Saccharomyces cerevisiae S288C: one gene and its partner. The gene in region 1 interacts genetically with each later gene. Each region holds a gene or a part of one and is shown on either strand. Other genes may lie near its edges.

What was found. Genes that interact genetically often act in the same process or in processes that back each other up.
Region 2: of STB1 (region 1) and IGO2, changing one suppresses a phenotype caused by changing the other (phenotypic suppression), as found in Saccharomyces cerevisiae (one study listed by BioGRID).

Annotation. Positions count from the first base shown.
Region 1 is NC_001146.8:46,623-55,350, forward strand, and holds STB1 (Stb1p), read left to right. Parts: upstream 1-6,039; coding exon 6,040-7,302; downstream 7,303-8,728. Other genes in the region: tetratricopeptide repeat-containing protein EMW1, read right to left, coding at 1-1,400; RFA2 (Rfa2p), read left to right, coding at 1,665-1,671, 1,780-2,594; putative SCF ubiquitin ligase complex subunit SKP2, read right to left, coding at 2,775-5,066; ZIM17 (Zim17p), read right to left, coding at 5,285-5,809; KRI1 (Kri1p), read right to left, coding at 7,500-8,728. UniProt on the Saccharomyces cerevisiae protein: Involved in the regulation and timing of MBF-dependent transcription in late G1 of the cell cycle.
Region 2 is NC_001140.6:365,659-370,949, reverse strand, and holds IGO2 (phosphatase regulator), read right to left. Parts: upstream 897-5,291; coding exon 501-896; downstream 1-500. Other genes in the region: NSG1 (Nsg1p), read left to right, coding at 1-228; ECM14 (putative metallocarboxypeptidase), read left to right, coding at 1,156-2,448; YHR131C (uncharacterized protein), read left to right, coding at 3,058-5,291. UniProt on the Saccharomyces cerevisiae protein: Required for TORC1 to properly control gene expression and chronological life span. Plays an essential role in initiation of the G0 program by preventing the degradation of specific nutrient-regulated mRNAs via the 5'-3' mRNA decay pathway.

The DNA of each region.
Region 1 (8,728 bases):
AGTCCTCTTTCAATAGTTTTAGCCTTTGTTGTCTCAATAATTGACCTTTCCCATAATGATCGGGCGAAAATAGACCAATTTTTGTCACCGTTTTGATATAATATTCTAGAAAGCAAAGCAGTAAGTTCTTCTTCCACAAGAGGATCCTTGGCCGGAGTTGTGTTCTTTATGGTGTAAAGACGTAACAGCAACTGGATGTTGTCGTAATCAGATAGGGTAGGTTGATCGTTAGGGTTCAAATCCAGCAACAACTTTGGAATATTTTCTTGACGTAGTGCCAATGGCAATAGTTTATCTTCTTCATAACCTTCATTTAGGTCTACCTTTTGTCTTTTACTATAAATTTGCTCGTCTAGAGGTTCATCAGCAATGGACTCAAAATGAGGCTTCTCCAATAATAGATCGGACTCTAAAGCAAATGTTTCTGGTGTAGCAGATGTCGTTCTCAAAGCAAAATTTTGAAATGTGAAGGATTTGGCAAGAATGATCAAACCGGCATGAGCCTTTTGCTGATATTTAGTTCTAGTAGCGCGTGCACCCGTCATTACAAATTCAAAATTTGTTATCTTTTTCGCTCTGGTCAAGGATGGCAGGCACAAATGTTCTGTGTTGATGGCCAATGAACATTTGACATTCTCTAGATAGTACATTGCACAAAGTTCTCTTTTGAAATCTTCGTGAATACTCTCCGGTAATTCCTTAGTTATCGCATATGCAAGGTCAGCAGACTGATATATTGCAGATGCAACACTAGCTTGGAACCCAGAAGGTTCTGGAATCAGTGACAATTGCGTCAAAAGAGCTCTTGCCCACCACCAATAAGCTACAGCTAATAATCCAGGAGTAGACTCAGCAGAGATAATAGGTAGCGGAATTTCTTGATCCGGGGTAACATCAAATAAGCTTTTTTGGCCGGTTATCCTTTCAAGTAATAATAGTGATAAAACCAAATACAATGGATCATCCATAAATTCGTAGGCAGGCTGGCCCATAATGGCTAATGAGCGGGAAAGGGCTGTATTAACTGCTCCTATTTCAATTCCAGTTTTGCCAAACAAACCTGAGATTGCTTTCAACCTAGCTGCTGGGCCGGTGTAGTTATTTTGAATAAAGGTCTGTAAGAGGGCAATAGCCAAAAATAGCATCTCATTTTCTTGGCCCATTTTGAAAACCTCAACGTTAAGAAAGTCATTTAGAGCAGCAATAACACTAGATGTGGATATTTCTCCCGAAATACTAATTTTTCCCTTAAATTTGTCCACAAATTGCTGTACTAGCTGGTATGATTCACCACTGATGATATGTTCAGCCTTTTTCACATATGTCTGGTCGAAAGAACCACTTTTCAGAGATTCTACTTCTGCAGACAGCAATAATTTTGCATGCAATAACGTCTCCATAATTTTGCAACCACTAGTTTACTTTTTGCCTGGTCTGATAGCTTCTTTTTAGCAATTCCTTTGGCCTCGATGAGCTTCCATTTTCAATTTTCATCTTTTTTTTCACGATGCGAAGTTTCTTAGATAATTATCGCCATATACGAAACGCGTTAGGAAACGCGTTCTTTCCTTTATAATAAGCAATATTATATCAACTTAAGGTGGAAGTAATGTGGCAAAATCGATAGCGACTATCTAGAACAGGCTAGTTTAAGCATATACATAATGGCAAGTATGTATTAGTGCTAGGAATTGGAGGATTTGCTCTTTTCTGCATCATTTTTTTTATTTTTATTGGCGAATGTTAAAATTACTAACAATGGATGGGATTCCAATACAGCCTATCAACCATATAACGAATATTCATCAGTAACGGGCGGTGGCTTTGAGAACTCTGAGTCCCGCCCAGGTAGTGGGGAGTCGGAAACTAACACTAGAGTTAACACCTTGACACCTGTGACGATCAAACAAATTCTAGAGTCCAAACAGGATATTCAGGACGGCCCCTTCGTTTCGCATAACCAAGAACTTCATCACGTTTGTTTTGTAGGTGTGGTGAGAAACATTACAGACCATACTGCAAATATTTTTTTAACTATTGAGGATGGAACTGGTCAAATAGAAGTGAGAAAATGGAGCGAAGATGCAAATGACTTGGCTGCCGGTAACGATGACTCTTCTGGTAAAGGTTATGGTTCGCAAGTCGCCCAACAATTTGAAATTGGCGGTTACGTAAAAGTTTTTGGTGCTTTGAAAGAGTTTGGTGGTAAGAAAAATATACAGTATGCGGTGATTAAGCCCATAGATTCATTCAATGAAGTGTTGACGCATCACTTGGAAGTCATCAAATGTCATTCCATAGCCAGTGGAATGATGAAACAACCTTTGGAGAGTGCATCCAACAACAATGGGCAATCATTATTTGTCAAGGATGATAACGATACATCTTCCGGCTCCAGTCCGTTACAAAGAATTCTAGAATTTTGTAAGAAGCAATGTGAGGGCAAAGACGCTAATTCATTCGCTGTTCCCATTCCATTGATCTCGCAATCCTTGAATTTGGATGAAACTACCGTCAGAAACTGCTGTACGACCTTGACTGACCAGGGTTTTATCTACCCAACTTTTGATGACAATAACTTCTTTGCCCTATGAAAATATATAGATTATTTTTTTAGCATTTCTTAGTATTCGTTTGTGTATTTCTACTAGGTAAGTACCAAAATTTGCCGGAAATAGAGTGGAAAATGGAACCCGTTCCAAGAAGGGGTAAGATGCATGAATATTAAGTTGGTTGCATAAATATGCTATATAAAGTCCACTACAAAAAGTCATTTATTTTTGCCCGTAAGAATAAAGAACGAATCCGTCCTTATCTCTGACTTCAATGGGAACATTTACACGCAGTACGGGCTTCAATAATAGTTCCCAGTCGTATCTGGTTCTAGGTGTACATAATGAAAAATGTCTCAGCATTCTTATTTTGACAGCTTTGAATTTTGACAAATTTCTCAGGAAACACCAGAGGTTAATATTTGGAATATCTTTAAAATTCTCTGGATCTTGGAAATCATTGAAAAAATTTTCCAATGTCACATTTTGTAAGAACTCCTCCACATCTAAATCTCTATATTCGATGGTTCGGTTCTTCAATTTGATTAAACTATCTCTTAGGCAACGCCTTACAGAGTTGTTCCAATAGTAAGTGTGGTGAATGTCTGATTCAGGGCTCATTACTGTACTTAAATTTGGAACTGCATTAGCATTTGGTATGTTATCTCTTATGGAATTATTTTCGTAACCGATTAATGTTTCTTGATCGTTCTCGTCGCCAACATCCTCATCTGTCTCATCAACACTAGTAATTGTTCTTGCTAGATGTTCCCAAAACGATAGAGGGGATAAAGGATACACATTGGTAAAGGGGATATTGATTACGTTAATAGAAATATTTTTACTTGGAAGTCTCTCCCAAAGTAAGCGGTAATAATGGTAGAAAGAATGAAATTCAGGGATTCTTTGTCGTTGAAAATTTTGTAGCTGTGCCGCAGTTAACATGGCGGGCTTTTTGTTATTGTCTGGTGATGGGTTATTTGAAACATCATTTCCTGTAGTTCTAGAAATATAGTTCAGATTTAAGGACAATACAACTGAAGATGTCGGCGGAGGAGTAATTATCTTCGAATCTGATGGCGCTTCAAATAATGTTTCTGTCATGGAATTGCAGTCATCAAAATCATCTTCTGTATCCAAACTTCGCTGTTGGAAATAATATGATTCGCCGACTACCTGTTCGTTAGTGAAACATTTGCTATTACAATCAATTGTTAGATTGGATAACGATGGGAAACAACTGCATAACAATAAGTCGAATTTACTGTTAATCTTCAGTAAGGATAGATGTTTGACCATTTTAAAGTAAGAGTGAAACAAACGTAATATTCCATTTCCAGGAACTACATCACATGAATCTAAAGTAAGTGCAGTGATAGGAGACTGTAAACTGTACAGTTCATTATCTTCGTTCTTTAGAAATAGTGGTAAGAATTCCATTGGAGTATCTAGCGATTCGGTGTCTATCGTTACATTTTCTAGTTTAAGTTCATTAATTATGCCGAAACAGCAGAATAAACTCGGTCTTAGTACGAGCTTTTGGTGATGGCGTTGACGATTAAAGGTTCTTTGTCTTTTATTATTAGCTTTGATTTCCAGTATTTTCAACCTTGGCAGAGAATAATACTTGGATTCGTATTCTTTGACAAATTTTTTGGATAGTTGGAAAGTCCTCAAATCTTCGTTTGTGATGGATTGCTGGCCCTTGATTATTTTCTTGAAAAAATCTCTAGATCCATCGTTGAATACAGAGTACCATAAAGGAATTTTAAAATTCGGTTCCACATCACTCAGAATCACTCTGGTCAGGTTCGGTAGATAGTCTATAATATCAAGCATTAGCTCAATATAAGTATAATGGAAGTAGTTGCTTTCCAATTTATCAAGCAGTTTGATTCGTTCTGAAGTTATGATGGGAGTCTCATCGTTTAGTCTGATGTTATTCAGTTTTTTTACGTCTTTATCATACGAATCGAGTTTATAAGATCCAGCAATAATAGAATCTTGGCCACTCTTATTATAGAACTTACTGTATTTTAACAACGAGTCTTGGGACTGAGGATTTTTGAATTCGATGGATCTTACGAGGAACCTTGCATTTTGTGATCTAGATTGTGTGCTACAATCACCGCTGTGTGTGACAATGTTCGACGTGTGGAACTCGGAGTGTATCAAAGCATTGAACTTTAACAACGAAAGTTTTGAGTCCAAAATAACGTTTTGGAAAAGGAACTCATTCGTAATCAAATTGTAGAACCTCGAATTGACTTGGCATAGTGTTACTAATGTATTGAAGTCCAAAGTTCGCAGTATTAACAGTAGAACTTTTGTTGGCAAACACATGAGGGACGATTTATCGTTGAAGCGTAGTGATCTCGATTTGATATCATGGCTCGTACTATGTAGAAGGCTTTTGGCATCAGCACAGCCCTCTTCCTCTTCTTCTTCCTCCTTCGCAGCACTGGAGACCAGCGAGAAATATTTTGATCTACCAAACAATTGCAACCGTTTCATGATTCGGTTGGTTTGAACGTTTGAAAATGCGGTTCAACTTTTCATATCTAGCAGTGGCTCATCTTTATGTACTCTAGTCCTAAATCTTCTGCTGGTTATCGCAAAAAAATATGTGATGTGCGGGTTTTTGGCAGTAATCATGACTCAGTCTCTGGAAAAACGTGCTATTTAACGGTTATATATCTATCTATGTACATGCCTGTGCATGAGCTCTTCATTCATTTCTGGGAAGGGTGAGGGAGCTGGGATGCATTTTCTGAGTTGTTCTTGGCATATTTTCCCAGGACGTCCTTTAGCGAATCTGGGATGTCTTCAAACTCCAAGTCGCCCACGTCTTGGCTAACTTGTTCTCCGTTAGCTTTCATTAACTGTTCCACGGTAACATGATGATCATGGAATATTTTCAGATGGTCTGCTATCAAATGTCTCACTTTGCAGTGCGGACAAGAGATCAAGACAGTACCTTTCTCGTACGCCTGCTTGGACATTGTGTGTGAAGATCGGGTGTTACATTTCTTGCAGGTGAAAGCTATCATCATCTTAGGCTTGTCTACCTTAAAAGACCCCAAATGAACCTTCTTATCGTCCTTTTTCACTTCATTATGTGCGATGATATTGGTATGCAACGCTGCTGCGGGTAGAGTACGGCACACGTTGTAGCGTACGCGAGGCGCCCAACATCTGGCAAAGTACCTGGTAATTGGTATTTTACTTTGCAGTAGTGTTCTAGTCCTCGGAATCATGTTCAGTCTCTTGATATTCCAGTTGCACCGGTGCTGCTTTAGTATCGCTGATCCCTTGAAGCCAACATGACGCTCTTTCACCTTTCCTCTCATAATTTTGATATCACGCGAAAATGCAAGAAAAAAAAATTACAATTATGAAGTGCAGAAGGAACCAAAAATATCATCGAAAGAAGGAGTACGTAGAGCGTTACTATTTTCAATCAGTGTTCCCATTGTGCATACAAGAAATGTCTCAACCCCAGATGTCCCCTGAAAAAGAGCAAGAATTGGCCTCCAAGATTTTGCATAGAGCTGAGTTGGCTCAGATGACGCGTCAATTAAAGCTTGGTTTAAGTAATGTCCCATCAACAAAACGAAAACAGGACTCTACAACAAAGAAAAGAAGCGGAGAGGATGCCGAAGATGTTGATGAGGACCACAAAACTCTTTTGGAAGCCATATCGCCTGCGAAAAAGCCTCTCCACGATGATACAAATAAAATGACTGTTATATCGCCCGTAAAATTTGTAGAGAAGCCAAATACTCCCCCAAGTTCACGCCAACGAAAAGCCGAAGACCGCTCACAGCAGATCAAGCCTAGGAAGGAGGACACTCCATCTACTCCGAGGGCTTCTGCTACACCTATAATCTTACCACACGCTTCGTCACACTACCAGCGCCCCCATGATAAGAATTTCATGACGCCAAAACGTAATAATAACAACAGCAGTAACCATAGCAATAACAATAATAATATCAAGAAGAAGGCAGCAGGCTCTAAGGATGCTCCACAGGACAGCGACAACACTGCGGGCGCTGATCTCTTAATGTATTTAGCCACAAGTCCATATAATAAGTCATCACATCATGGAACACCGATGGCCGTAAGGATGCCCACTACTCCACGCTCTTATCATTACGCGTCGCAATTGAGTTTGAACGGTAATACAGCAAGCACATCAAACGATGCAGTAAGATTCTCTCATATCAAACCTTCAGCGTCTTCTCCGCAGTCCACTTTCAAATCTAATCTGTTACCGAATTTTCCGGACGAATCTCTCATGGATTCTCCATCACTATACTTGAGCAATAATAACGGTAGTGTCCAGGCGACACTATCGCCACAGCAGAGAAGAAAGCCCACCACAAACACATTGCATCCACCTAGTAACGTACCTACCACGCCTTCAAGAGAATTGAACGGTACCAATTTTAACTTACTCAGGACGCCCAACTTCAACATGGGAGACTATCTGCATAATCTTTTCAGCCCTTCACCAAGGGTCCCCGCCCAGCAGGGAGCGTCAAACACGTCAGCTTCAATTCCTTCTGTTCCAGCGATGGTGCCCGGATCATCTTCCAACACTTCTGCGATAGCAACAGCTGCTATATCAAGCCACACCACAAACAATTTTCTAGATATGAACGCAAACGGGATCCCGCTCATTGTAGGACCCGGCACCGACCGTATAGGCGAAGGGGAGTCCATTGATGACAAACTCACTGATTGATCGTTGACGGCCATATCAGTTGATGATTCCATACTTCCTGAAATGGACCACTCAAAGGGACAAAAATGACAAATGTTGAAATTATAAAATTACATATTAATACGTAAAATGACATTCTTTTTTAGGGAAATTCGGAGATAGATTATCACTATGTAAGCTTATGTATCGTAATATACAGGGCCGATATTTCACCTAGTTTACTTTTTCTGGTGGCCTTTATGTTTATGACTGTGCCCCCTCTTGTGTTTGCTTTTAGAGGCTTTCTCTACAGGTATCAGTATGGTGTCCTCATCCTTCTCCCCTGCCTCTGCTTCGACTGGAGCTAACCCATTTTCGTTCTTAAAAGTTTTCTTCCTCCACTCTCTTAATCTTCTTGCCTTCATCACTTTCCTTTTATCCTTCGCTCTTAGTTCCTTGGAACGATAAGGTGCAAATTTCTTCAAACCAATAAATTCATTTAAATCAGTATCATCGGCGGCGAAAATCTCTCTTGCGGTCAAACCGAAACTCTCAGGAGAAACTTCACGGTAACGAAACTTCAAATCTTGCTCCTCTTTTGTACGGCTTCTACTCTTTCTTTCTTCTTCTTCTTTTTCAACCTCCTCTATTAGTGCTAGTTTGTTTTGTTCCAAAGCATTTTCCACTAATTCATTTACCTTTCTCTTTTCTTTCTTCTTTTGCAGTTTCTCTTCTTTCTTGCTCTTCTTTCTTTTTGGACCTTCTTCCTCGTCTTCTTCTTTTTGTTCTTTTTCCACTTCACCTTCTTCTGTTTGGTCATCACCATCGGCGTCTGCATAAAAGTCACCCATTATTTCGTCATCCTCGTTCCAGGTAGGCTTTCCCTCTTGTTGATAAAATTCTTCATTAAATAATTCAGCTACCACGTTATCCCACTCTTCTTCTTTGAAATCGTTCTTCAATAGGGTGTCAGTGATTTTTTTCACCATGTCGGCATTAATTTCAGCACCATATTCCTTTGTTAGTTGCTCTAAAATGTCAGTCAATTTATTCAATTTTTTAGTCTTCTTTTTCTGAAGAGCTGTCTCCTTCTCTGCTTTTATTTGCTCTTTAATTTTTCTTTTTTCCTCTCTTTTTCTTCTGCGTGAAGAGTCATCGGATCTTCTTAGTGTAGCTTGACTACGTGCATAAGATATAATTTCAGCTGCGTTTGGGTCCTCGTACCTAAAATTGTAGGCATTCTCAAATTTTTCTGCAGCATCTTCAAATTCTTCATCGTCCTCTTCATTATTGTTGAGGTCAAGAGAAATCACCTTGTCCCCCTTCTTAGGAATCCAGGCCTGTTGATTCACAAATTCTTCCAAGAAATTTTCTTCATTTACGGTTGGATCCGGTAAATTTTTTCCTTCCTTCTTCGTAGAAGGTTCCTTTTTCTTCAAAAACCCATCGTCTTCATCTCCGCTAGACT
Region 2 (5,291 bases), on another chromosome or scaffold:
TCCTCCTCTTTGCAGGCAGCTGGTGCATGGAGCTTATTAAACATTGTTCTGTGGTTGTTCTTTGATGGCACTTTAACCGTTTTTTTCCCAGGTCTAGTAATTGGTGCCCTTAGTGCGTTCACTTGCTCACAATGTTTCTCGCAGTTGTCACTGGCGTTGTATTTTATAGATTTCTATTTTTTTGGGTTTTTGATGTTCAGCAAGTTGGGCAGATATTTATTCAATTAAGTGTTCCCATAGGGGCGTTCAATGATTAGTATCGATGTGTAAATCTTAGCTGATTTTTAGGCCTCAACAACCTTCATTTACTAAGCATGTGAGTAAATCAAAAGGATGACGTCAACAAAAAACACATCAGTAACACAAGGTATACCATACATACATATATATATATATATATATATATTATTTGGTAATTGAATATTGAAAATGCAAGGGCTTAGCCGAAGCTAGTGATGATAAAAAAAAAGTAATACCACATAATATCATTCCTTCATTAGTCATTTATTTGGAGATCTTGGTGGAGGTCCACTTGAGATACTTCCTTGTCTCGAGATAGAATCGCCACCACTACTACTACTCATACGTCTTCTAATAATAGACTCTCTTAAACCGCTAGGATTGGTCACTGGTAGATTATTACTAGAATTATTCACGATAACGTCATCCGACTTAATGACTCCGGCCTTTTTCAATGCATAATCTCCGCTGTCAAAATATTGACGATCCTGCATCTTATGTCTTAACAGATCTTTTTTGGATGGAAGCTTCCCATACATTTTATACAATTTTAGTTCTTGTGGTGACAGCTTCGATAAATCCACTCCCTCTTTGGTAAACCCATGAGGATTGCTCAAATCCACCCTGCTGCTTGTAGGTGAAAGATCCTCTGACATAGTTATATCACTTTTATAACACTTCTTTGGTACGTATTTTTGTTTATATGTGTTGTATTTCTGAACCCCAATATTCTCCCGCGATAACCTGTAATTTAAAAGATCATTTGTCTCGTTCTATTTTCTCCTGCGCTGACTGCGGATTTTACGAAGAACTAGAAAATGGTTCCAACTAAATGGAAGGAAGGATAAAATATTTTCGACGGTTTAAAAGACCAAGTTAACACTATATAAACAAACCAGAGTGTTAAGTTATATCATGTTGCACATGAATTCGTTGTGGGGTTGTTTTCTTTTCGTTTTACTAGCCGTGACAGGTGCTGTGCAGGGTCTCCAAGAGGATTACAGTGAATACGCTGTTTACAGGTTTACTTCAGACAACTATTCTACCCTGGTAAGAGATGTGATCGCACCGCTGACAGATGATTATGATGTATGGACGAGAAGCAATAATTTCATTGATATTAAGTTGCCTAAAGAAATAGGTGAGCAGATAAATGATGGGCAGGTGATCATAGATAACATGAATGAATTGATACAAAATACATTGCCTACAAGTCAGATGATGGCACGTGAGCAGGCTGTTTTTGAAAATGATTACGATTTCTTCTTTAACGAATACAGGGACCTGGATACTATTTATATGTGGTTGGATCTTCTAGAAAGAAGCTTTCCCAGTTTGGTTGCAGTGGAACACTTGGGCAGGACATTTGAAGGCAGAGAGCTAAAAGCTCTGCATATATCCGGAAACAAGCCAGAATCAAACCCGGAAAAGAAGACTATTGTTATCACAGGTGGTATACATGCCAGAGAGTGGATCAGTGTCAGTACCGTCTGTTGGGCACTTTATCAGTTGTTAAATCGATATGGTTCGTCTAAGAAGGAAACCAAATACCTGGACGATTTGGACTTTTTAGTCATACCTGTGTTCAATCCAGACGGATACGCATATACGTGGTCGCATGACAGACTATGGCGTAAGAATCGTCAAAGGACTCATGTTCCTCAATGTCTTGGTATCGACATTGATCATTCCTTTGGTTTCCAGTGGGAAAAGGCACACACCCACGCTTGCAGCGAAGAGTATAGTGGGGAAACGCCCTTCGAAGCTTGGGAAGCATCTGCTTGGTACAAGTATATTAATGAAACCAAGGGCGATTACAAAATTTATGGCTACATTGACATGCATTCGTATTCACAGGAGATTTTATATCCCTACGCATACTCGTGTGATGCCTTGCCCAGAGACTTAGAAAATTTGTTGGAGTTATCATATGGCTTATCCAAGGCCATCCGTTCAAAATCAGGTAGAAACTACGACGTAATCTCCGCATGTAAGGACCGTGGTTCCGACATATTCCCCGGCCTCGGTGCAGGTTCTGCGTTGGACTTCATGTACCACCACAGAGCACATTGGGCATTCCAGTTGAAATTACGGGATACAGGGAACCATGGATTTTTATTGCCTCCAGAAAACATCAAGCCAGTTGGAAAGGAAACTTATGCTGCTTTAAAGTACTTTTGTGACTTCCTACTAGACCCAGAGATATAATGGATACCACGGTATACATTATATTACAAGTTAGTAATACCCTATCCTATATAAAATCTAGAAAAAGCAAAACCTTATATATTTTCTTCTATATTCTCCAAAAAATTATTTTAACTTGGATTATCTGCTCATACACCCCCTAACATGAGCAGAACCAATCTGTAAAATTCTTTGGTGTTGGCTTCGATTATTTTGATGTGACTTGAAGGCTTCATCTCCTTTTTAGTGATTAAGCCTCCAAGAGGGTCATAATTTCCACATCATCGTTGACGGAGTTATCTTACGATTCTTTATAATTGCAAGAAGGATATATATCGTTATCCGCTGTTGTTCGGTCATTTTGGACATTAACAATACTCAGGAGATCAACATTGTAAGTCCTTAGTTGTATATCCGCGTTTTTAATTTAGTCGTAATCATCAAGCTTCAGTGAGGTGGGTGCATCTAACTGTCTTACAGTAAGAAAAAAAAAAAAGAGAAAAGTTTCATAATAGGGTCCACCGAAAAGATTACAATTTTGTTGACCAGCACAAAAGAAATCGTTGTTTCTTGGGGCCACAGTATATTTTTGATCCGACATCGTGCATACAAGTTGTTCGTTTGTTAAGGATGGCTCTGCCAATAGAGGGCAAATTATCCATGGCAAATAATAGGATCGAAAGGTTAAAATCACCCTCGTCTTCATCAACATGCTCAATGGACGAGGTTCTCATTACTTCAAGCAATAACAGCAGCTCTATATGTTTAGAGACCATGCGTCAACTTCCTCGGGAAGGTGTTTCTGGTCAGATAAATATTATCAAGGAAACTGCAGCTTCGTCCTCTTCTCACGCTGCTCTCTTCATCAAGCAAGATCTTTACGAGCATATAGATCCCCTCCCTGCTTATCCACCGAGCTATGATCTAGTAAATCCCAATAAAGAGGTCCGCTTTCCTATATTTGGTGACACGGCACCATGCCCAAAGTCTTCTCTCCCTCCTTTGTATGCACCTGCAGTATATGAATTGACGTTGATATCCTTAAAATTGGAAAGGCTTTCACCTTATGAAATTTCTAGTAACAGGAGCTGGAGGAATTTCATCATTGAAATTAATTCGACTCAACTAAATTTTTACCATATTGACGAATCTTTGACGAAACACATTAGGAATTATTCAAGCGGGGAAACAAAATCTGAAAAAGAGGATAGAATTCATAGTGACTTGGTCCATCGCAGTGATCAATCACAACATCTGCATCACCGTCTCTTCACTCTACCGACGAGATCAGCTTCGGAGTTTAAAAAAGCAGATCAAGAACGGATCTCTTATAGAGTGAAACGTGATCGATCGCGGTATTTAACCGATGAAGCTCTTTACAAGTCTTTCACTTTACAAAATGCAAGATTTGGGATACCAACGGATTATACCAAGAAGAGTTTTGTGTTAAGAATGTCTTGTGAAAGCGAACAGTTTTTATTACGGTTCTCTCATATAGATGATATGATTGACTGGTCTATGTACCTATCAATCGGGATATCTGTGTCTTTGGACTTGGAAGTCAGGGAGTATCCAGATTATCGAATTGTTCCCAGAAGAAGGAGAAGGAGAAGGAGGAGAAGGAGGAGAAGAAGACACACTCATAGAAGTGAGAGTTCGATGGGGTCTTTTTCGCAGAGATTCATTCGTTCGAATTCCAGACCGGACTTAATCCAAAGATATAGTACCGGGTCTAGCACTAATAACAATACAACTATCAGGGAACGCTCGAATACTTTCACAGCTGGTCTACTAGATCATTACTGCACTGGCCTCTCAAAGACGCCTACAGAGGCATTGATATCTTCGGCTGCATCAGGAGAATCCAGTGATAACAGTACCCTGGGATCAACAAGGTCATTATCTGGTTGCTCAGCTTCCCGTTCGATTGCATCTAGAAGTTTAAAATTTAAAATTAAGAACTTTTTCAGGCCTAAAAATTCTTCACGCACAGAAAAGCTTCACAGACTCAGGTCCAACTCAAGTAACTTAAATAGTGTTATTGAAACGGAAGAAGATGATGAACACCATGAATCAAGCGGGGGAGATCATCCAGAGCCTGGTGTTCCAGTAAATACCACCATTAAAGTAGAGCGTCCAATGCACAGAAATAGAGCTATTTCCATGCCCCAAAGACAGTCATTGAGGCGTGCAATTAGCGAGGAGGTTGTCCCCATCAAATTTCCAAATAGCACAGTGGGTGAATCAGTTCATTCACCCTCTCCTATTGAGCATCTTTCCGTTGATGGCTGCGAGATTATGCTGCAATCACAAAATGCGGTTATGAAAGAGGAATTACGGAGTGTTGCGTCGAATTTGGTAGCCAATGAAAGGGATGAGGCATCTATTAGACCTAAACCTCAAAGCTCTTCGATATACCTATCAGGATTAGCTCCTAATGGGGAATCCGCCACAGATTTATCCCAAAGCAGTAGGTCGTTATGTCTCACAAACCGTGACGCTGAAATCAATGACGATGAAAGCGCTACTGAGACCGATGAGGACGAAAATGACGGTGAAACCGATGAATATGCTGGCGATGATACTAATGATGATACTGATGACAGTAATATTGGTTATGCTTATGGCAGTGAAAGTGATTATTCATGTTTAATTGAAGAACGAATAAGAAATCGAAGGCGAGCATCTTCTACTCTAAGTTGCTTCTCCAATATACCTTACGGAACGGATGATATTAAATGGAAACCAGCTATTAAGGAAATTTCAAGAAGGCGTTATTTGAGGGATTCTCTGAAGTGCATCAAACCATTTCTAGATAGTAACGACTGTTTGGGTAAGGTTATCTATATTCCAGTTTCGGGACC